3 linked regions of the Rhinolophus ferrumequinum genome follow. The protein of the gene in region 2 interacts with the protein of the main gene of each other region in a biochemical or structural test. Links are inferred from orthologs where the notes say so. Each region holds a gene or a part of one and is shown on either strand. Other genes may lie near its edges.

Region 1 (6,957 bases), on a different chromosome or scaffold from region 2:
GACTCCACAAAGGGAGCTATTTAAGGGCTTAAATCTGTAAGTAAATTCCACCTTCCAGCATCCCAGCGGCTAATTTTATCTTACTGCTTTCTTAAATTCCATCCAATGCCTTTCAACAGTGCGGAAACCCAAAGGTGTACCGTGGGAGCTGACTGTTTGCCAAGGTGCAGGAGTCAACACCAGCCCTCAGCGGTTCTGAGCCCTGAGCACTTCTTACTGGTTTTCTTAAGGCGGTTTAAGGTGCAAGAGAAAGTACACGAGGAGATGGAAGTGGGTCAGGAAGGATTAACGCGGTGAGGCGGCTAAGGCCAGGAGATCAAAGGTCTCCTCTGGCTAAGGAAGTGGGAAAACAGGACAGTGTTCCCGGGAGCTGCCAAGCTGGGCACAGCCAAGGCGTCCGAGCTCCCATGGACCCTCGTGAACCGGTGGGGCCATGTCCCCTGAAGTCCCACCCTGTCCTAGCTGGGCCATTTCCCTGATGCTAGCCGGCTGCACTGAGGGAACGCTGGCCGTGGACATGGAGACCCTGGGTTTGTGTTCCGGCTCTGCCCCAAATTGTCAGGGATTTTCAGGAAGTCTGCACCTCTGAACCTGTAAGAAAGGATGCTGACAGTTGTCCACCTGCTTCCAAGGGCTGCACGGTGATATGAGCTGATGTGCCAAAAATGATGTGTGAATTGTAAAGCGCTCTATAAAGGAAGACCATTAGTCATGTTATTTACCTTTACCACTAAGAATTAAACGTTCCAGTAACCTCTTCTGCGTGACAAATCACGAGAAAACAGGCACAGCAACCACTGTTTTATTACTGTTTTATTGTGCTCACAGAGACCCGTCCAGACCCCCGACTGAAGACGAGATGGGGGTTGCTGTGAGCCTCGGTTGGGGTAACAACAGCAGCTGGCACAATCGGTTCTTGGATTCAGGGGACCTGGGAGACAGGACTGAGGGGTGCAGAGGTCCTGTAGTGCAGCCCCCACCGCGACCCAGGACCCTGGCTGTGTGGCCACACTGCTGTCCTCTGCTCTGTTCCCCTCCCAGCAGGTCCCCTGGCTCCTCTACCACTTTGCCTCTCCAGAAAACACTTTCTAAACCCGCCCACCACTGTCCCCTCTTCACTCCAAATCTAGTTCCAAGGACATTGTCTGTCTTTCTACATTGCCAACATTCTTTGAGCTGGAACCTGCCTTGTGCCTGGAGTGCCATCTGGGCCCCTCCTGGGCCCCCCACCCGTCCCCAGGTTGTCAGGCCTCAGGACCATGTGACAGTTCATCTGGTTTTCACCCCTATCAGAGGGGCTACGGTAAGAACTAGTGACATCGCCAAATGCAGGCGAGGACACACAAGTCTGCACAGGTGATCAAATGACAGCAAATTGGCCACACACTGTACCAGGGCCAGCGTTCTGGCTCTGGTTTACTGTTGCCTGAGTTATGGGAGACTAAGCATGGGTGCCGGAGAGGACAGGAGACAGAGCCCGTTCTCTCTGCCACGTGGGTGTCCTGGGCTCCATAACGCTCCCCAGATGCCACATCCTGGTCCTGTAGCCTTCCAGCGTGACGTCCCCCAGCACAAGGGACTTTGCGGATGGCAGAATATGGTGGGCTCTGAGGTGGGGAGGTGCCATGGATCAGCCTGTGGTCCCTGTGAGAGGGAGGCAGCAGGTCAGGGTCGGGACGAGATGTGACAAAAGCTCGGAGGAGGCGGCGCTGAGTGAGGCTCTTCCAGTGTCCGGTCCTCACGCCCTCACTGGGTCTGGGGTCACGCGGCCCTGCCCTTCTGCAGGCAAAGGGTCTGTTGACCAGGTCTGGTGTTTATACTGCTTGTGGTCACCACTCAGAGACCTGGCACTGTGCTCGTTTGGCTGCCATCCAGACCCTCTTTGCCCTGATTCTGCAATCCGGCATCTTCAGGCCTCATCCAGCTGCAGATCTGAGACTTGAGCCCTATGGGTGGGGCACGCACCGGGCAGGACGCATGCCACGCGATGGGCATACACAGTACCAGAGCACCTCACTGCAGCCTGTCCCCACACACAGGCCCCCACCGTGCTTTGGCTCCTGGCACAGAATCCGCTGTTTAGAAACTTCAGGGTGTGTGAAGCCCGTACACTGCCTTGCGGAAGATTTCGAAGGGGCTTGCTGGTTGTATTTGATCTTAAACAACAACGCAGCTTTTTTCACGTCATATGATGCAAGGACGTAAGGCCGTCCCTCACTTCTCAGAGACAAACCCGCAGACCCTGCAATACGGAAGGGCACTCTGGATGGGAGCGAGTTCCATCAAACTGGGGGCTTTTCTCACATGCACATGGTACTAACCACACGCCTGTCAGTTTCTGTCTCAGTTTATTCTCTTCTTTTTTTGATTATGTTTTCAGGCTGGTTTCTCCGGGTGAACCAGAGCAACTTCAAAAAGAACAAATATCCTGAAGCAGCCCCAAATCCTCTAGCGGCAGAAGCGAGGAAGTGCTCTCGCTCTGTGGGCTCTGGAAGAGCAGAGCCCATCATCCCCAGGATTACCAGGTGGGCAGACCCCACAGAGCTCCACGAACCTGAATCATCATCTGTCTGTCAAGGGAGGGAAAGCGGAGGCCTGTTTAAATGCTACGGCCATGAATAGAAGCAATTTCCTGACCACGTTTCTCACCACTGTGAAAGGTTAACATTTGTTCAGCCGTGCAGTGTTTGCCAAACTCAGACGTCTCCTCCACGAGCCTCCCCAGACCTGGAAGTTTCCCCTCTCAGCGATTCAAAGTTGAACATCCCACAGCATCTGCATTTGGGTGGAATCTCATTAGGGTGACTCCTCTGAACTGTCTTGTTCACACGACCAGCCGCTATCACAACTGTCCCCCTGAGCCTGGGGAGGGTCTCTGCTGCGTGGTGGGTAGCCAGGGGCTCCTGGTTCTTTCTGGGGCTGCCAGGTTGTAGGCAGGTCCCCGATGTGTCCACTCTCACCTTCCACCCACGGCATGGAGGGCATGAAGGGACCATGACAAGTGTGAGGAGCCTGCAGATGGTGCCAGGCAGGGCACCTGTGGCTCCACTTTCTCCCCTCCCACTGGCAGACTGACCAGATCCTGACGAACAGGAAATTGATGTGAAATTTTTTGTTTATGGTCGGGACAAAAGAAATCTAAAAAGCCAAAGAAAAACTACAGCCCTGGGTCAAGCAGACCTAGTCCCGCGGGGCGACTGCCCTGCCGGCGACCACTACCCATTTCCTGCTCCCAGCACCGGGACGAGCTCCAGGAGCTCCAGGAGTCCAATGAGGATGCGCCTGGGCCCTCCATTTCCCCAGGCCCATCTGGCCAGAGTGCTGGCGTCCATTCTCTCCTTTGTACACTGTCCTGCTTCTTTCAAACCCCTCTGCTGGACCCCAACGCAACCCTCTGTGCCAGGGTCACGGCCCACGTGAGAAAGTGACAAACCAGAAGGACCCTTTCCCCAGGGGGCGAAGAGTGCATCAGGTCCCCCGGGCCCTCCGCCCACCCCCGGTTATGGTCCCCTTCCTTGGGTACCCCCAGAGCCTCTCCAATGTGCCACCCTCGCTGCGAGCCCTGCACCCTGGGAGGGGTCTCAGCACACGGATGGGGAGGCTGCCCGGTGCAGCTGCGCGGTGAGGACACGCCGTGTCCATGTTGAAATCCGGCACCAACACCTGGGACCTGCCAACCGGGTGGGGAGGGAAGGTAAAGCGCTGAACACCTATAGCCCGCGACCCCGCCCCTTCCTCCCCCAGCCCCGCCCCTCCCCGCGGACCCCGTCAGCCCCGCCCCTTCCTCCACGTGCACCGCCCTCCGCCGGGACCCCTACTCGCCGCGTGGCTCTGGCGCCTGTGGTCCCCGCACGTGGGAGCCCCGCCCGCCTCCCGCGATGCCGCGAGCGCCCCGGTGCCGCGCCGTGCGCGCCCTGCTGCGGAGCCGCTACCGCGAGGTGCTGCCGCTGGCCACGTTCGCGAGGCGCCTGGGGCCCGAGGGCCGGCGTCTCGTGCAGCGCGGGGACCCGGCCGCCTTCCGCTCGTTGGTGGCCCAGTGCCTAGTGTGCGTGCCCTGGGACGCGCAGCCGCCTCCAGCCGCCCCGGACTTCCGCCAGGTGGGCTGCCCGGGTACCGGTGGGGCCTGCGGGGTGGGGGTCGGGCCGTGGGGAACGAGGCCGGACGCGGCTGCGCACCGGATCCCGGACACTTCCGTCCCCAGTGACTTGGGACCCCCCCCCAGGTGTCCTCCCTGAAGGAGCTGGTGGCCAGGGTCGTGCAGAGGCTCTGCGAGCGCGGCGCGAGGAACGTGCTGGCCTTCGGCTTCGCGCTGCTGGACGGGTTCCGCGGCGGCCCGCCCGTGGCCTTCACGACCAACGTGCACAGCTACGTGCCCAACACAGTGACCGACACGCTGCGCGGCAGCGGCGCGTGGGGGCTGCTGCTGCGCCGCCTGGGCGACGACGTGCTCACCCACCTGCTGGCACGCTGCGCGCTCTACGTGCTGGTGGCCCCGAGCTGCGCCTACCAGGTGTGCGGGCCGCCGCTCTACGACCTGTTCACCACGCGACACGCGGGCCTCGAACCAATACGCCGGGCCTGGACCGGCGGCGGCAGGGAGGCCGGGAGACAACGGGGCCTGCAAGCCCCCGGCGCTAGGCGGCGTCCGGCCAGCGTGGAGGAAAGTCCGCCTCAGGCCAAGAGGCCCAGGCGCGGCCCGGTCCCCGTCCCGCAGCCGAAACCAGACCGAGGACCTGACCGGCAGGCGCCCCGGGCCCACCTGGGCAGGGCGCGTGGGCCGGGTGACCGAGAGCCCAGCGCCGTGACACCTACCAGAGTCGCCGTGGAAGCCGCGTCTGGGGAGAGCGAGCCGCGCAGGACCGGTCGGCCCTTCCCACTGCTCCGAGGCGAGCGAGAAGCCAGCTGCCCATCCTCTGGGCGGTCGCGTCCCCAGGAAGCGCTCGGTCCCCGAGCGTTCGCTGATACCAAGCATTTCCTCTACTGCTCCGGTGGTGGAGAACGCCTGCGCTCCTCCTTCCTGCTCAGCTCCCTGCGGCCCAGCCTGGCGGGGGCCCGGAGGCTTGTGGAGACCATCTTTCTGGACTCCAGGCCCCTGCAGCCGGGGGCTCCCCGCAGGACGCGCCGCCTGCCCGCGCGCTACTGGCAGATGAGGCCCCTGTTCCGGGAGCTGCTTGCCAACCATGCGCGGTGCCCCTACGGCAGGCTCCTCAGGACACACTGCCCGCTGCGGGACACCCCAGTGGGGTCCGGAGACCAGGGGCACAGTGGAGCGGGCGCCTGCGGCCCGGAGGAGGACGCGGGCCCGCGGCGCCTGGTCCAGCTGCTCCGCCAACACAGCAGCCCCTGGCACGTGTATGGGCTCCTGCGGGCCTGTCTTCGCCGCCTGGTGCCCGCAGGCCTCTGGGGCTCCAGGCACAATGAGCGCCGCTTCTTGAAGAACGTGAAGAAGTTCGTTTCTCTGGGGAAGCATGCCAAGCTCTCGCTGCAGGAGCTGACCTGGAAGATGAAAGTGCAGGACTGCGCCTGGCTGTGCCAGAAACCAGGTGAGGAGGCGGGTGGCTGGCGCCGCAGCCCCCGGCCCCACAGCCCCGCAGCAGGGGTGCCGCGGGGTGGCTCCCTCCCAGTCTCTGCCTCTGAGCCGCTCTCCCACCCCGTTTGCATCAGCCTGCTTTCATGCACTCAGGCAGGTTGTGGGAGCTGGAGGTGGGCAGTGCGTGGACGGACTTGGGGAGTGGGCTGTGGCAACAGGATGGACGCGCGGGTGGACGCGGGGCTCGCTCTCGTGAGCATGCCTGAACATCGTCCATAGCCCCTGACTTCAAGGTTTATCACCACGAAGTGGTCCCCACTGACAGAAATGGAGGTTGGGGCGAAACCCTCTTTTGTGGGCGTGGGAGATAAAGCTCCTGGCTTTGGGACAGCATTCGGTCAGCCCACACACAGATCCGAATTTAAGTTTAATCAAGCCTCTGCTGTGCCAGGGTGGACGGCCGAGTGGAAAGGCTGCCCTGCTCCAGGGCCCCAGCCATCTTTAGGAGGGAGAGGGTCACCAGGGAGCAGAGGGAGCCGCGGGGCGCCGTCCCGTGTCAAGGAGTGGGCTGCCACCGTGGGTGCCTGCAGGACGTTTTCTGTGAAGTTGGCTTTTGGTGCTCCCCACCCCCACCCATTTGCTTTTTCTGGGCTTGGTGATGAGGTTCCTCCAGTCCAGCCACCACTCAGCCCCCTCGGCGGCGTCCTCGTCTGCGCACCAGCGCCAGGGTGGAAGGACCAGCCACCCTCCCAGCTCCCCCCACTGGAGCAGTGGCGAGGACAGACCTGCGTTTTGCCATTTGACCTCCCTCAACTCCTGAGACGCTTACAGAAGAAAGATGGTTCAGAGCCCTTTGCTACAGCCGGGCGTGGCTGCACGGCAAGGCTCCCGGGATCGGGACCCTAAAATGCCCATCCCCACAAGATCCCCACGCGGCAGTGTCCTCTGGCAGCAGTGGGGGGAGGGGAGGGGGGCAGCACACCCTTTCAGGCTCCCAAGAGACGCCAGGGCCAGGTGAGGGGGACAGCAAGGTGACCTTCGGCAACTTGGTGTTTTTGTTTTAATGGTGGGGGGATAAAACCCACCGTGAGAGCTCCCCCTTAACCACGTTGGTGTGTGTGTGTGTACAGGACGACACTGCTAAGTGACAGCACAGGTGACCCTCGGGTGTGTGAGCCTCAGTCGAGTCAGCAGTTATGCGACTCGCTTTATCCTGCAGCTCGGCTGCAGCTGTGTTCCCCGGTTTCAGGCAGTGTTAGCCCAGGCGGCTGGGACCCAGGCGCTGGACCTCTGGTGCCCTCGGTCACTTGTACCCCAGACATCTGCTGCTTCCGTGGCTTCAGCCATGCCCGTTGCCCCCTGGCTGAAAAATGATGCATGCGTGCGACAGCCTCATCCTCGGGCACCTGTTCTGATCACGGCTGTCC
Region 2 (7,897 bases):
GGAGAATCTTAATTAACAATACCAGTACACACTGGTCTGCACTCAAGTGATTTGTCCATTCCAGTTTCTACTGCATTCTAGTTAAAGTCTAACTAAGAAAAAAGTAAATCCAGTTGCCAAGTTACAGTGGTTAGGAAATCAACACTTAACAAAGGCCATCATCAGTTACTCTTCCTTAACTTACAGAAATTAACTATCTAGCACATGTTCACTATTACAAACTGTTTTGGAGGCTAAAGACTGATTTTATTTTGGGGTCTCAATCTTATAAAGTGGAGTGATGGCAAAGGAAGAAAGATTTTAACCGATGTTAAATAGTCACAGTATGTTTCTGGACAATTTATTAAGTACCAGACTCCAGAAAGAATGACTTCAAATAGCTCAAAATTAATAAAACATTTTCTTTGTATCTATTGTTTATGGGTCCAATTGTTATGGTCCAATTTAGAATTAGAACCAACAAGAGCTAATTTAAAAAAAAAAACAAGTAGTGCCCGCGCCCCACCCCCCAGAGGCTTTGGCTGGGCTTGTCTTAAATGGGCAAAGGGAGGTCCTAAAATCCTAGCCATCTCCAAGGTAGGTGAGAGATTGATGGCTTTTATGTAAACTACTAGACAAAACTTTAAAAATTTGATTAGAAGAAACTTACCTACAAAATCGCTACTAAAGAGAATTCAGTAAGAAAAAACAGACCCTAAAACCCTTAATATATCCAGCATAAATGTCTCTCTCCATATCTAAAAAAATTTTTATAGCAGACATCAACAAAATGATTATCAGACCATTATCAGACAGATTCTTCCTAGGACTGGATGACCCATTAAATGTTTTTTTGCAACTAAGCAACTGACTCATAATATTCACCTTGTAAATTCATTCAAGTCATTATTAGTTCAGTAAGATCCCCTAAAGAATTTGCAAGGTGACATATACTGAATATTTTAAAGAGGATGAAATTATCTGGCCTCTTCAAAACACTCATTTTGAAGTAGCATTCTTATAAACTACATAGAAGGCTTTTGGTATTGGTTGTTACACTTTTAATCCACTTACATAACGTGTCTTACCTACTTTATTTTATATGATCTCTAGAAAACTTCTATTTCAAACCATACTAAATATGGTATTTCTTTGTGAAAAGATATATTTGGCTACATTAGTCTATTAAAAGTTGGTAATGCTCTGAGTATTCATTTTGTACTCATATTTTAAGATTGACAATCCTGCTACATTGTTTAGAAGAGATTTCAAAGGGAAAAACAAAAGCTATTTTACATAGATCAAAATCTATTAGATACCACTTTTAGAGGGGGAAATCCTTCCAAAATGCTAATATATCCCCTTTACAGTAATACATGTGTTCTTCTAGAGGCTTGTTCTCCGACATCAACTCAGAGTGTATCCTTTCCATTTAAAATTCTAGCCCAATATACTCACCGTCAGTTATTATTTTAAATGAAATTGAAAGTGCATTACTTTTTATAGGAATAAAAATTGTTCCCCTTCTATTGCTCTCCGTTAAAAAGGAGAGCAGTTAAAAAACAAAAAACAAAAAAACCCCAAACCTATAAAACCTGCAGTTCTCACATCTGAAAAGGTAAAAACTTTTCCTGAGGAGAATGTGAAAGCGCGGAAGCGGCAGTGCCAAGAATTCTTCCTCGGTTACAATCACCAAGGTTTTCCTACACCATAAAAAAAGAATCTGTAGTTACCCCCACGTAAACACATTTAAGTTCTTTAAAACAAGGCAGTTATATACCTATTTCAAACTTAAATTAAGATAGGATCATGAAACCTCGCACAAAGTTTAACAGAACACTGAAAAATGTCCACAACTATCCTTCGACTCGACACGTGCAGAACTACCTGTTCTATGGTATAACTCCTCGCTGCCAGGGACACGACTGAGTTTAGGCAACCTTCACTCTCTTCGAGAGACCGGAGCTAGGAGGCGGCCTGGAAAGCCCCCCGCCCACTCGCGAAATCACGGCACCCGTGAGAAATGAGTTGTGGTGACGATTTGGCCTCCCTCCGGTTGCCTAGCAGTCCCTTGTCGCTCACGGTGGAGGGCCGCGTGGTGCTCTACGAGGAGCACCACCGGCCTCTGGTAGCACCCACCACAGGTGCACTTGGCCCAGGACCGGCATCTGAGAGCGGCAGAACCAGAACGCCCAAGAAACGAAGTAGCAATCCAAGACGGTCCACGCCTCCAGGGCGCCGCATGGCAAAAAGCTCACAGGAGATTAAGGCCTACAGCTAAGTTCCGGAGAGTTAGGAGCGACCCGAACAGCCCAGGGGAAAAAAGTGGGATTTCCGGCATGGGAAGCTGAAGGACGGTTTAGAGGTGGGGGAAGCGGACATCTGGAGGAAAAATGTCCTCCACCCGCCAACGGTAACCGGAAAAAGGATACTGGACCTCCCACCCCTAGGCAAGAACGACTGCCACCACGGAGGGGAGAAAACTGAGGGGCCGAAAGCGGGGAAGGAGAGGGGGCGCTTTCCGGCAACCCCCAGCGTGGCCTCGGCCTCCCTCTGGGGCGACCATCCCTTGGCGGGTGTCGCACTCACATCGTGAACGGGGCAGGGGGACGGGTAAACGGGTGGGCGGGCCTCTCCGGTGGCAGCTGCTGGGCAATCGACTCCTCTCCGGTGCCGACTCCGGCGTTTTCTCCCCGGTGCGGCCTCTTCTCGCTTCTCTCAGACGAGGGCGGCGGAGGGTTCGACCTGGGTCCCCAGAATGCACCGCGCGGACAGAGCGGCTCCTCCGGTCGGGGAGAAGAGGAAAGTGTAGGAAAAGGGACGCGAGGACGGAGAATGAACGTGCGTGCGTGCGAGCGAGGGCTGGTGAGGCCGGGCGGCGGCTGGTGACGCAGCAAAATGCCCGGGCCCTGCCGCCGCGCCTGCGCACTCTTTGTTTTCAGGCTCCGGCCCGGCTTTCTAGAGATATCTACGGAAAGGGCGGGGCCTCCCAGCTCGTTCGCGATCCTTCCCGGCGCAAGCCCCGCCCTTCGCCCCCGCCCTCCGGCCTGACTTGTTCCCGCCTCTCCTCCCGCGCTCCCTTCTCGCGTTAGAAAACCGTTGGCCACCTAACTGCCTTGCCACGCGCGTTGGGCGACCTACCCGGGAGACTGATGCGTTGACAGCGGGAGGAAGGTTGAGGTGGAGGGACGCACGGAGGCGGGAGGCTTGGAAAGTGAAATGGGGGATTGGTTACTGTGGAGGGAACCCCATCAGCTCACTAAGGATACGTCCACCGCATAAAGATTTGAAAAGAGCGCCTTTCGCTGGTGATACTTGCGAAAAAGGGCTAACTTCAGACTCGAGGGCCTCGGTCCACTTCGCCATTTTTCTGAAGATTGGAGACCCTGCCCAGGGGCAACAGAAATTTGAGGCCTTTGAGGAGGAACGTTTGCCATTGGGGGGCGAGCATTTGCCCCTGCTTCGAGAGATTAGTACTGTAGGTGAGACAGGAAGATTATTTAAGTGGAGAGCCAAGGTTTGTGGAATGGACTAGAACAGTCGTGTCTCCAGGCACATCAGTTGGGGAAGAGTGTTCCCCATCTGTTTTCAACCGATCTCTCCAAGTGCACTGCGGCTTTGTGCAGGGCAATGCAGGATAATAACCAAGAATCAAAACAGTACATGCCTACTCCAGAAGGCCGCGTTTAACAATGGAGTAAGGAAGAAATACAGTGCATCCCTAGGTAGAATACAAAGGAGGTTTATGGAAAGTGCTATAAGACGTTTTTGGAGAAAGTGGGGGTTTCATATTAAACATTAAGCAGTGTCCTGGGTGGTGGGTTAGAGCACAGTGCTCTTAAGGATGCGCGTTTGATCCCCTCATGGGCCACCCGTGAGCTGCGTGCCCTCCACAGCTCTATTGAAATAACTACCTAATTTGGAGCTAATGGATCCTGGAAAAATACACTTAGAATAAATTTTTTTAAAAAAGGATTTAGTGTCTATGCTGTGCAAGGCAGGTATTGGGAACAACTGGACCCTGTGCCCAAATCCTGTTAAAATGGAAAGTTAAATCCCAGCTCTCAAATAGTGATTCTAAGGAGCCTACTGCCTGTTAGGGGAAATAAATACACAAATCAGGATAATGGGAGTACAAAAAGTAGTGGGAGAATGAAAGGAGGAGAGGTCGAAAGGAGGAGATACCGATATTGACTGGAACAATTAGGACAGGCCTCCTTAATAAAAATTACCCAAAATATGGAAATAGGCAAGGAGTAGAGGGATGACCTTTCAGTTCATACAGGGATGTGGTTTAACCTGTTTGCCCAATGATTAGTCTCTAGGAGGGAGATACCTGCGTTTGACTTTGCTATTCAATACATGATTGGAGCTCAAATATTGTGAAGTTACTTGTTAAGTTGTAGACTTCTGACTGACAGAAAAGCTAACCCCAAAGTTACGGTTTTGTTGCTCTGTAAGACAGTTTCCTTTAACTTATTACCTTATTCTATTTATTTTTATGCCTATAAATACCTACTTCCTTAAATGCTCCTGGAACCAGCTTTACCATCTTACTGGTTCTGTCAATAAGTTAAATGTCTGGCTCACGTTAATTTTATATTTGTGGGAGAATCATGTTTTAAATTTTTTTTTTTATAAACTTTTTTTTAAAGATTTTATTGGGGCAAGGGAACAGGACTTTATTGGGGAACAGTGTGTACTTCCAGGACTTTTTTTTCCAAGTCAAGTGGTTGTCCTTTCAATCTTAGTTGTAGAGGGTGCCGTTCAGCTTCAAGTTGTTGTCCTTTCAGTCTTAGTTGTGGAGGGCACAGCTTAGCTCCAGGTCCAGTTGCCGTTGCTAGTTGCAGGGGGCACAGCCCACCATCCCTTGCGGGAGTCGAACCGGCAACCTTGTGGTTGAGAGGACACATTCCAACCAACTGAGCCATCTGGGAGCTCAGCGGCAGCTCAGCTCAATCTTAGTTGCAGTGGGCGCACCCCCAACATCCCTTGTGGGAGTCAAACCGGCAACTTTGTGGTTGAGAGGATGCGCTCCAACCAACTGAGCCATCTGAAAGGCAGCTCAGCTCAAGGTGCCGTGTTCAATTTTAGTTGCAGGGGGTGCTGCCCACCATCCCTTGCGGGACTCGAAGAATTGAACTGGCAACCTTGTGGTTGAGAGCCCACTGGCCCATGTGAGAATCGAACCAGCAGCCTTCGGAGTTAGGAGCATGGAGCTCTAACCGCCTGAGCCACTGGGCGGGCCCCAAAAACTGGCTTTCAGAAAAGAAGTTTTTGAAAATTCAGACCTGTTGCTTCCGAATTCATATTGTATACCCCTGTTGGGCATATTTCAAGTGGGTTCATGTTAGTGTAACTCTGGAAATGGCTACTCACCCAGAAGTTGCACAAATACTGTAGTTATCAGGTTTATCCATGGCTTTGCATGTTATCACAACCATTAGCTGGTGGGGACCCAAGTTGTACCAGGTTCTTGTTTTTGTTTTTTCACATTCACTAACAAGTTCTGTTTCTAGTAGGGCCCCAAATCTAGATTCAAACATGTATGAGGTCTGACACTTAAGTTCGCAAACTCATCCTAGAAAAAGTGCTATATACCTCATTGCTGAATATCACTACAGTCACCTTCGAAGTATTCCCCTTGGGAATCTATACACCAATGCCAGCGCCCAGTCCACCCTTCAAAGCAATTTTGGAACTCTCCGGAATGGCCATCAGAGTTGTCATATTACCCTATATCCTGAATATCATCAAAATGTCTTCCTTTCAATATTTGCTTTATCTTGAGGTAAAGAAGTCATTGGGGGCCAGATTAGGTGAGTTAGGGAGGTTAACTGTATCCAATACAGTTATTTGTTTACTGGCTAAAAACTCCCTCACAGACAGTGCCATGTGAGCTGGTGCATTGTCATAATGCAGAACCATGAATTGTTGGCAAAAAGTTCAGGTTGTTTTCGTCTAACTTTTTCACGCAATTTTTTTAGCACTTCCAAATAGTACACTTGGTTAGCTGTTTGTCCAGTTGGTACAAATTCATAATGAATAATCCCTCTGATATCAAAAAAGGTTAGCAACATCGTTTCGATTCTTCATTTGGACTGACAGAACTTTTTTGGTAGCAGAGAATGGTCTGACTTCCATTGTGCACGTTGACACTTTGTTTCAGGGTCGTATTGGTACACCCATGTTCCATCACCAGTGATAACACAGCCCAAAACATCGTCTTGCCTCTCCAAAAGGTCTTGGCAAACTTCAACTCTCCTTTGCTTTTATTCATCAGTGAGCTCCTTTGGGACCATTTTAGCACACACCTTTCTCATGCCAAGATTTTCAGTTAAGATTTTCCTAACTGTTTCTTTTTAAACTTTTATTTATTTAAGTGTGTTTTTCCCAGGACCCATCAGCTCCAAGCCAAGTAGTTGTTTCAGTCTAGTTGTGGAGGGCGCAGCTCACAAGTGGCCCATGTGGGGATCGAAAGAGCAACCTTGTTAAGAGCACCACGCTCTAACCAACTGAGCTAACCGGCCGCCGATACTATTTGTCTATCAATGTTTACTTGGTCTGCTATGTTTTTCACAGTCAGCCAGTGATTTTGGTGCACAATTTGATGAATTTTTGCAATGTTTTTGTTAGTTCTGCTAGTTATTGCCTGCCCTGACCGCTCTTCATCAATGAGGCGTTCTCTCCCCTCAGAAAAACGTTTAATCCATTTGTATACCTCCGTTTCCTTCACGGAATTATCCCCATAAACTTGGACATGTCCCTGATTTCACTTACACTCTTGCCAAGTTTAACAAGGAATTTAATGTTTGTTCTTGGCCAGCCCAATATCTCAGGCGGTTGGAGCTCCATTCTCTTAACGCCAAAGGCTGCTGGTTAAATTCCCACATGGGCCAGTGGGCTCTCAATCACAAGGTTGCCAGTTCAATTCCTCGACTCCCACAAGGGATGGTGGGCAGCGCCCCCTGCAACTAAGATTGAACATGGCACCTTGAGCTGAGCTGCCGCTGAGCTCCCAGATGGCTCAGTTGGTTGGAGCGTGTCCTCTCAACCACAAGGTTGCTGGTTCAACTGGGGGCGGACCCCCTGCAACTAACAATGGCAACTGGACCTGGAGCTGAGCTGTACCCTCCACAAATAAGATTGAAAGAACAACAACTTGACTTAGAAAAAGTCCTGGAAGTACACACTGTTCCCCAATAAAGTCCTGTAAAACAAAAAATGTTTGTTGGTTGCTCTAATTCAAGCTCAGACATTCTTGTGACGGTGCACAAAAACACAGAACAATAATGAACGCCACTCAGCAAGACACCGCCACACGTCCACATGAACACAGCTGTGAGACACTGATACACCAAGGTTATGAAACCTTCCCGAGCTGTTTGTACAGCGCTGCCAATGTAAGCGCACGGTGGCAAGTTGGCAAACTTGTCATACCTCGTATAGCTATAGTGTCAGGGCTTTGGGGAGAGAACTCTGCAATCCAAATTGGCAGAAATTAGACAATACTTGACAAGTATTAGATACCATTTCACAAGTTTAATCCTAACAGTCTCCTAAGAGAAAAGAAATTCCCAGGCCAATTTTTTGTTAAATTCAGAAACTCCTTATCTATTATCATTGTAGCATGCTCCTTCTCTCTGATATTTTTCTGAGGACTGAATTTAAATGTGTACACAGTCACTAATAGCAAAAAAGATCTTTATAAATTGACATGAGCAATTTTTTAAAAAGTTTATAACAGATGAGAACAGTCCAGTTTTATGAGGGAGTTTTCTACTGTGTTTCCCCAAAAATAAGACCTAGCCAGACAATCAACTCTAATATGTCTTTTGGAGCAAAAATTAATATAAGTAAAATAAGACCCGGTCTTATATTAATTTTTGCTCCAAATTTAATGCATTAGAGCTGATTG
Region 3 (7,526 bases), on a different chromosome or scaffold from region 2:
GGGTTCAAGGAGGCAAGGGGAGCACCAGGCCCTGCAGCGCACCTCGGTCTGCTGCTGGGGTAACCTGGGATGATCCCTCAGCATTCTGGGTCAACCCACAGGGCCTGCTGGGTCCCGCCCAGCTGGCTTGGTGAGAACAAACTCAGGGGGCTTGCCGGCCCACCCGCTCTGAGCCTGGGAGGAGTGTGGTGCCCGCCTGTCAGAGGAGCTCTGACAACAGTCTATGGCCAGCTCTGAGTGCCCAGGTATGGCCAGGCCAATTCCTCGAGTGGTCTCATGGGGAGCTGGTGACCTAACCTCAGGAACTGTTCTGCCCCAGACCCTCAAGTGACCCTCTGACTACTGGCACTCACGGGCCACCTGGCATGGGCCCTGGCCTTGGCGACCTCCAGCTGCTAGGTTTCTGGGATTTCCCCCAGCCTCCACACAACCCCATTAGGGTTGTTCCTGCTTCCAAAGAGGAGAGAACTGCACCGGCCAGTGTGGGAGCGGGGTGAGGCCAGGCAGACATCAGGCGCCAACACTGAAGCAGGGCCTCCAAGTACAGGTGGACTAAACGAGAAGTGCTCCTTACTTACACAGCCCGGAGCCCCAGACTAGAAGGGCTGATTCACAGAACACCTGGGTGGGCTTGCAGAGGAGGGGGACAGCACAGACTGCAGGTTGGGAGAGCTGTGGCCCATCCTGGGCCACGTTTGAGGTCACCAAACACCCTCCTAGGGCGCCAGCGGCAGTGTCCTGCAGGATCTGTTTGGGGAGCAGCTGCGAATCTAAAAGCCCCACACAGTGTGCGTCTGTAATTGCACCAGGATTTGGGGCAGCGACCTGTTGGTCTGTCCCTCATGCTGGGCAGAGGACACACAATGCTGTCCGCACCTGGCCCCACAGGCCAGTTTCTGCAGCTGGAAGCGCCCCTCCACCGCTGGTTACTCAACCTGGAGAGTCAGCCTCTAACTTTCCCTCGTCCTCTGGGGCAAAGGCAGATGGTTTCTCCTAACAGAGTGGTGAGAAAACTTCCAGCACTAAGGGGAAAGCACTGTGAGCATGGACGTCGGAGCCTCCCACAGACTCAGAGCCAGACTCTGGGCCGTGAGTCTGCCCAAGACCCAGGGTGGACCCCTGACAGAGGCCGCAAGGCCTGTGTGGGCGTCCTTAAGGCCACAGACACAGGACCACCTCCTTCTCTGGCCCAGTAGCTCCACAGCCCCTGTGCAGCCCAGAAAAGGGCTTCCTTCTGCTCTTGAGCTAGAGCTCCCCAGTGTCCTGCACCCAGCACACCCTGCCCGACTTGCCAACAAACCAGGTAGGAGTGACACTCAGTATCAGCCGCTCACCCCTGTGGAGAGCTGGCCAACAGGCCTCACGGGCGGTGTGGCCACTGCGAGGGGCAGCTGTCACAGGCCTGATCGTATCTGACTTTCCTGTTCCAAACAAAGGCTTTGCCCAGAACACGGCTGCAGGTCCTGGAGAATATGCTGGCAGTTCTACACATACACACCTCACAATCTTTGAGATCAAGGGGCAGGACGGATCATCCTAGCAGGATTAAGCTTGGAATATCCCAGAGGATCTCTGACGCCCCTCCCCAAGCTGGGTTAAGAGTGTTCCCTGAGAATTAAGGGGAAGGAAAAAGAGAATGGCAGGATATAAGAAATGGAGAGTGGCTTGTTTTGGTCAGGAAAGTTTGAGGTCTCAAACAAGGGGATGGTGGTCACGTGACAGCCCATGAGAAAGCAGCCTGCCCTTCTTTGGGACTCGACTGGCCATTAAATAAATACGCACCGGAGGATGGAGAACACACACAAAGCTGTCACTGTGACCAACAAAAAAGTATCTCCAACAGGAACGCTGCATGACTTCCAGTCTCTTTACTCCGAACCACTCTACAGGCAGGGCAGAGCTTCAGCAAACAGCCCAAGAATGAGAAACTGGCCTCCAGCTAAGGGCTAGGTTCCATCCAGACTTTTCCTCATTCCTAATGACTTAACAGTATGGGAAGGACAGCCATAGAAGTCTGAGAAACCCCGCCCTACTTGCTGGGCACACACGTTTTGGCCCTCAGTAGGTCAAGCATGTGTGGAGGTGACCAAAGGCTTTGTACCACCAGGACCGCCTTTCCCATGGACTATGGCTCTGGCCTTGCCCCGACCCCACGTCACAGCAGGATGTAAACAGCACTCTCATCTCCAAGTCCAGACACAGTCTCTGATTTACTTCTACAAACCAGAGCTGTCCAGTCTCGCAGTCAGACTATGTAAACAAGCCTGCTGCCAAGCAACTGGACAGAGACGTGAATAAAGACGCCCTGTGAGGAATGTAAAACAAAGCAGCTCTCGGGAACCCCAGCTCTGGCATCTGGACACGGGTTCGAGATCAACCTGAACTTTAGGACGTTTTACTTTCTGCTTTCTCCTTCTGCACTCGAGCAACGCCCTCCGGCTCATGCGCCCAGTCCTGATATTTTCGGAGGAGCTGCCTACCACGCCACCCTGGTAACTACCTGAGAAGATATAGAAAGGCACCTGGACACGACGTTCGCTAACGAAACCGTGTGCTGTTCAGAGGACAGACACACCTCCGCAGTTGTTCCACAATTAGCAAAAGCCCAAAGATGGAGAGGCCCTTTCTCTCCACCCCAGGGAAACTTGGCGCGGGCAGGAGCCGGCGAGAAGCGGGCCACGGACGCTTCTCCTCCGGCTGGGCTCCCCGCCCCTACTCGGGCAGGCGAGGTTGGGAGCCGGCCCAGCCCCCGCCCGGCGACGCGCCCCACCCCTCACCGGGCTCCAGCAGATAAGCGCGTCGGTGTCCGGGTCGCTCACGAGGGTCCACAGCTTGGTCAGGAAGGCCGGGACGTTGCTGGGCCCCGCCGCACCGGGGCCCACGGGTAGATCCATAACGGGCAAGGCAGGGAGAGGTGGAAGTACCGACCGCGAAAAGACGCCGAAGGCCGGGCTAGCGCCGCCGCAGGGTCTGCAGCCCGGGCCGCGCTGCCGCCGCCCGCTGCGCACACACAACTCCGGGGCCTAGCATGGCCGCCGCCATCTTGCGACGCGCGCGCTCCCGCCGGCGCCGCCCGCCCGCGTCCCCAGTACGCGCGCACGCCGGCCCCGCCCTGGCTTTCGGGCCCCGGCCCCGCCCCGGCCTCCGTGCGCCTGCGCGTGTCTGCCCTGCCCTGCCTCACCAATCAGGCCTCGCGGGGCTGGCCGGCCGCGCCCTCTGACCCCGCGGGCCCCGCCCTCCAGCCCACGCGCCAGGTCGCTGCCGGAAGTGGCGGCGCAGGTCGGAACCCGCGGGGAAGCATGGCGGGCGCGCGGGGCGCTGCGCGCGAGGCGGCGGCGGGATCGCGGTCGGAGAAGCGGCCTCCGGAGCCGGAGCCACAGCCGGAGGAGGTGACAGCGGGCTGCGCGGGACGGTAGAGGGAGTGGGGCGGCGCGATCTGGGGCCGCGCGGCGCGGGTCACACGTGGTGGCTGAGGGCGTGAGGCCGACCCAGCGTGCAGCGGGCCTGGGGACGCGAGGAAGAACGGGCGCCTGCCCTGTGCTGGAGGTGGCCCTGAGGGGGCCTACGCGGAAAGCACCCCCTGCGCAGAGGGCGGCTGGAATGGGCGTGGGGCGGATCTGTGCGGTGGACTAACTGTCTGAGCGAGGGAGAAATAGGAAGGGGAGCTGGTACCCTGTGCAGCAGCCCCTCAAACCCTTTGATTTATGCATTCTCCCATGAGAAAGACTAGCTTATACTCGCAGTAAACACATACATGTTTATACACCACTTACATGTTAGCTACGTTGTGAAAATAAAAGAGGATTCGAGAATGAGGACGCGTGACTAGAACGCAGTGCCGGCGGCATCTGACGTAGTTTTAGCTGGACCCATGGCTGCTAATGCTGTCTGGCTGAACCCCCAGCTCCGTTGTTGGGGGTGTCACCAAATCTGTGTTGTAGGAGGCGTGTACAGGGGACCGTCTCAGCTGACTCCATTTAGCTGGGTGATCAAGCTGCCCTTCACTTTGTGACATGTCCTCCTGCTGCACCCGGCCCCAGCAGGTGGCTCTGGGCTGCTCGCGCCCCTTGGCTCTGTACTCAGCAGGAGCAGTTCCCGCTTGGTGCCAAACCATTGACGCTGTTTTCACTTGCTGCTGTAATTGCGTAGCTAAGTAAATGTTAGAGATAAGCAGCTGAGTGCCTGTGTATCAGAGTCACTTCTGTGAAAACTAAGTCGAGTGCTACAGAACGACTGTTCTGTGCAGGCTGTCCAATTAGGTGAGACTTGCAAGTATTTAAAAACAGTAAAACCAAGGACTCTGCAGTCCTGTCCTTCCGAAAAGTCTGTGAGTTCTTGTTCCGCTTTTAAAGGGAACGACAGACCCGCTCACTGTGTTTCGTGTCCTGTAGAATTAGGGATGAGATGTTGTCTACTCAGGAAAAGCTCTGGTCCTACCCAGGAGGGGCAAATGGGTGGTACCTGTTTTTAAGTCAGGCTTGTCTCATTTTTATCACCCTTCACCCAAGCACTACATCCACTGTCGGTCTCAACCTGGTTGAATACGAAGGCTTCTACTTCCGGTGGCAAAAGCCCCTCAGGCGTTCTGGTCCTCTGCTGGCACCAGCCTCCGCCTGGTGCCCTCAAAGCTCTGGGGCTTTGGATGCCAGGGTGGGCCGTGGATGGTAGAGAGCTGGTGTTGGTGATGCGATGGGCACTGGGCTCTGAGAAGGGGACATTGTTCTTGACAGTCCTTCCCGTGTGAGATTCTTGGAGTTAAATGTCCCTTCCAAGGGCAGGAGCCCACGCTGATGGCAGAGGTGGACAGTGAGGAAGGCCCGAGTTGGGTGCCTGGTTTTGATGGAGGTGTAGGCTTGTGACCTGAGGGCTGTGGCCTTGGAGGCTGGCCACACAGAACTGTGGGTCATCATGCGACCTGGGGCGCAGCTGTCTGGTCTGGCTGACGTTGACACTGTTTCTTGCAGCCCTCTCTCCTTGCCCCTGCTCCCAGCCTTGGGGATAGCAGCGATTCTGGCCTCTCCGACAGTGACAGTGAGGAGAGTGTATTCTCAGGCCTGGAAGATTCCGGAACTGACAGCAGTGAGTACTCCGCTGAGGGAGAGGATGGGGCCAGCAGCAGTGGTGAGGGCCACAGCGTGACAGAAAAGACCACTGAGCAGCAGGTAGGTGAGCCAGGACCTCCTGGGGGTTCTCCCTTCTAGATGAAGGTGGCCAGGAAGGAAAGTGCCTGCCAGGTCTTGGGCTCTTTGGGGGAGCTGCCCCCACACTGCTTTCTCCAAGTTCCCTTAGGAACCCGTAGGCCTTCGTCCCTCTTCCAATGCACTGGGTCCCATTTGGGACTAGTTGGGACACTTGTTTGAAGCTGGGGTGCTCCGAGCTCTAGGGTACTGGTTTTCAACCACACTATGTGCTCCGTTCACAGGAACTCCAAAAATCGTGATGCTTGGGCCTCCCCTCAAGTGAATGATGTCCCATCTTCATGGGACTGAGCCCACATTGCTAGACTCAGTCACAGGCTGGCTTTCATAGGGGCAAAGCCTGAGGTGGGGATTCATGTGCAAGTGACTGCCTGGGGACACATGAGGGAGCCAGTGAGCAGGAAAGTCAACCTCCCCCACCCCTGCCTGACCCCCGGGGCCCTGTTCTGTGATGGGGAAGGGTGCACCCTGCTCTGGTCTGAAGCTAGAGAAACGAGAGACAAGCTTAATTAACCGAAGTAGATTTGTTGCTTAGTATGTTCTAGAAATAAGTTTATAACTTTATACTTTCACTGGCTCTGGTGTTCTGGAAGTTAAGACCTTGACTTGTACAGAAGTCTATCCCATAATGGGAACCAGGAGGCCATGTTGTTTGATCTGTTTACTTAAGAAGAGAAGATTTAAAATCAGACATAAACCTCCACCCATCTGAGCTTCCCCTGTGTGCACAGCTGGGTGCTCTGCAGTGCTTTGTGGCCCAGAAGAGAGCAGTGCCCCCCTTCTCCAGAGCGCTGGGGCCTGAGCCCCCCTGGGGGGGCAGCCCTCTGCCACAGCCAAACTGTGTCCCCTTTGGAGCCAGGACCTGGCGCTTCCCTTCCCAGAAGCTGTGCTGGGGCAGGCTTCTCCTGCAGGGGCTCCCACCAGTGAGGTGGCCCCTCCTGTTCACACCCAGGCCCTGAGGGCTGACTTGGACGCAGCCCTGCCAGTCTGGTCTCTGGCTGCTTGTGCTCTAGCTCAGGGTATAGTCAGCCCGTCACAGGACTTTCTGTTCCAAAGCTCGGTCTTCATGACTGGGTTCCAGCTTCTCCAGGCCCGGGCAGAACTGCGGAGGTGGCTCCCCCATCTCCCCTTTCCACCTGCTCCTCAAGGCCGTCTGCACCCTCCACCTGGCCGAGCTGCTCATTCCCTCCACAGCCCCGCTCACAGCCCTCTTGGGGTCGTCTGAGTCCATGTCCATCACGAAGCCCCGCTGGTGGAAACTGAGCCAGCAGGCCAGTCGCTGCTTCCTGCACATTCTGCGGGCTGCCAGGAGTGACCCCTGGGACAGCCCGGTCATGCACAATATTGGTGGCCCCTGGTCAGGCCTGTCCCTCTTGTCCTGGAGCCAGCCGAGGGCTGCTTGCTGGCGTGGAACCTTCCGGCCACAGAGGGGGAGGACAGGCCCTCTGGGGTTTCTGCTGGCCCACCTTTACCTGCCACGCTGGTGGGCTGTCACATGTCACACCATGGAACTTCTGCCCAGACCTTCTTGCCACTGGGGGTGGGTCCTGAACACATGCTCCCCTTCCGTCGAACAGCTTCTTACCACCATGAGCTCTGCGAGCCTGTGCCAGTAGCGACCCACTCACTTCTGTGTGTCTGCCACATGCCCAGCTCGGACAGAAAGCCCCCGGGGTTCTGTGCCACATGGCCACGGCCACCACGTGGTCCTGCAGATACTCAGTGGTCTAACGTGAGCTACTTTGCAAGCAAAAGAGACCCTGGCCTGGGGCCACCAGAGAGTGAGCTGACTTCTGGGATGAGAGCACGAAACCCGAGACATTTCTCCGGCTACTGTCTGACTCTTAGCAGGCTGCTCATGCTTGCAGGTCTCTGCTGACTCGTGCTGTGTGCCCCCAACGGTCACTTAGATCGTTGCTGCTTTCTCAACACTCCGTTGGCCAGACCTTCCTACCAAGGCTGGGTGGGCGGGTCCCCCTTGAGCACTCGCCTTCGTGCGTCTGAAGAGCACTTTGTCCGGCTGTCAGGCTGCAGGCTGGTGTCAGGCCAACGACTGGTCCTGAGGCGTGAGTGAGCAGGGAGAAGGCCTATTGGGTGCGATCCTCAGGGCTGTCCCCGTGTAGCAGATGTCCTGCGACCAGGGGCTGAGGTCCCCACAGGTGGGATCTAGTTGGTTTGCTTCACTGTCTGGTGGTTCTGTATCTCGTAGGTCATGTTCAGGGACCCCCACTCCATAAATCTATGGAGTCCAGGTGTTTGACATGGTGGCCCAGACAGACCATGGCTATCCTACTGAAAGCCTTCCATGGGTCAGGGCCTCTCACAGCA

What was found.
Region 1: the proteins of PTGES3 (region 2) and TERT form a complex in vitro, tested with the Homo sapiens proteins (2 studies listed by BioGRID). The link is inferred for Rhinolophus ferrumequinum from reciprocal best matches to the Homo sapiens genes PTGES3 and TERT.
Region 3: the proteins of PTGES3 (region 2) and HSF1 form a complex in vitro, tested with the Homo sapiens proteins (2 studies listed by BioGRID). The link is inferred for Rhinolophus ferrumequinum from reciprocal best matches to the Homo sapiens genes PTGES3 and HSF1.

The regions. Positions count from the first base shown.
Region 1 is NC_046290.1:739,199-746,155, reverse strand, and holds the start of TERT (telomerase reverse transcriptase), read left to right. Parts: upstream 1-3,878; coding exon 3,879-4,097; intron 4,098-4,222; coding exon 4,223-5,543; intron 5,544-6,957. UniProt on the Homo sapiens protein: Telomerase is a ribonucleoprotein enzyme essential for the replication of chromosome termini in most eukaryotes. Active in progenitor and cancer cells. Inactive, or very low activity, in normal somatic cells.
Region 2 is NC_046293.1:55,858,937-55,866,833, forward strand, and holds the start of PTGES3 (prostaglandin E synthase 3), read right to left. Parts: upstream 3,047-7,897; 5' UTR 2,571-3,046; coding exon 2,569-2,570; intron 1-2,568. UniProt on the Homo sapiens protein: Cytosolic prostaglandin synthase that catalyzes the oxidoreduction of prostaglandin endoperoxide H2 (PGH2) to prostaglandin E2 (PGE2).
Region 3 is NC_046297.1:73,036,437-73,043,962, reverse strand, and holds the start of HSF1 (heat shock factor protein 1), read right to left. Parts: upstream 3,074-7,526; 5' UTR 2,895-3,073; coding exon 2,778-2,894; intron 1-2,777. Other genes in the region: ribosome biogenesis protein BOP1, read left to right, coding at 3,300-3,389, 4,965-5,162. UniProt on the Homo sapiens protein: Functions as a stress-inducible and DNA-binding transcription factor that plays a central role in the transcriptional activation of the heat shock response (HSR), leading to the expression of a large class of molecular chaperones, heat shock proteins (HSPs), that protect cells from cellular insult damage.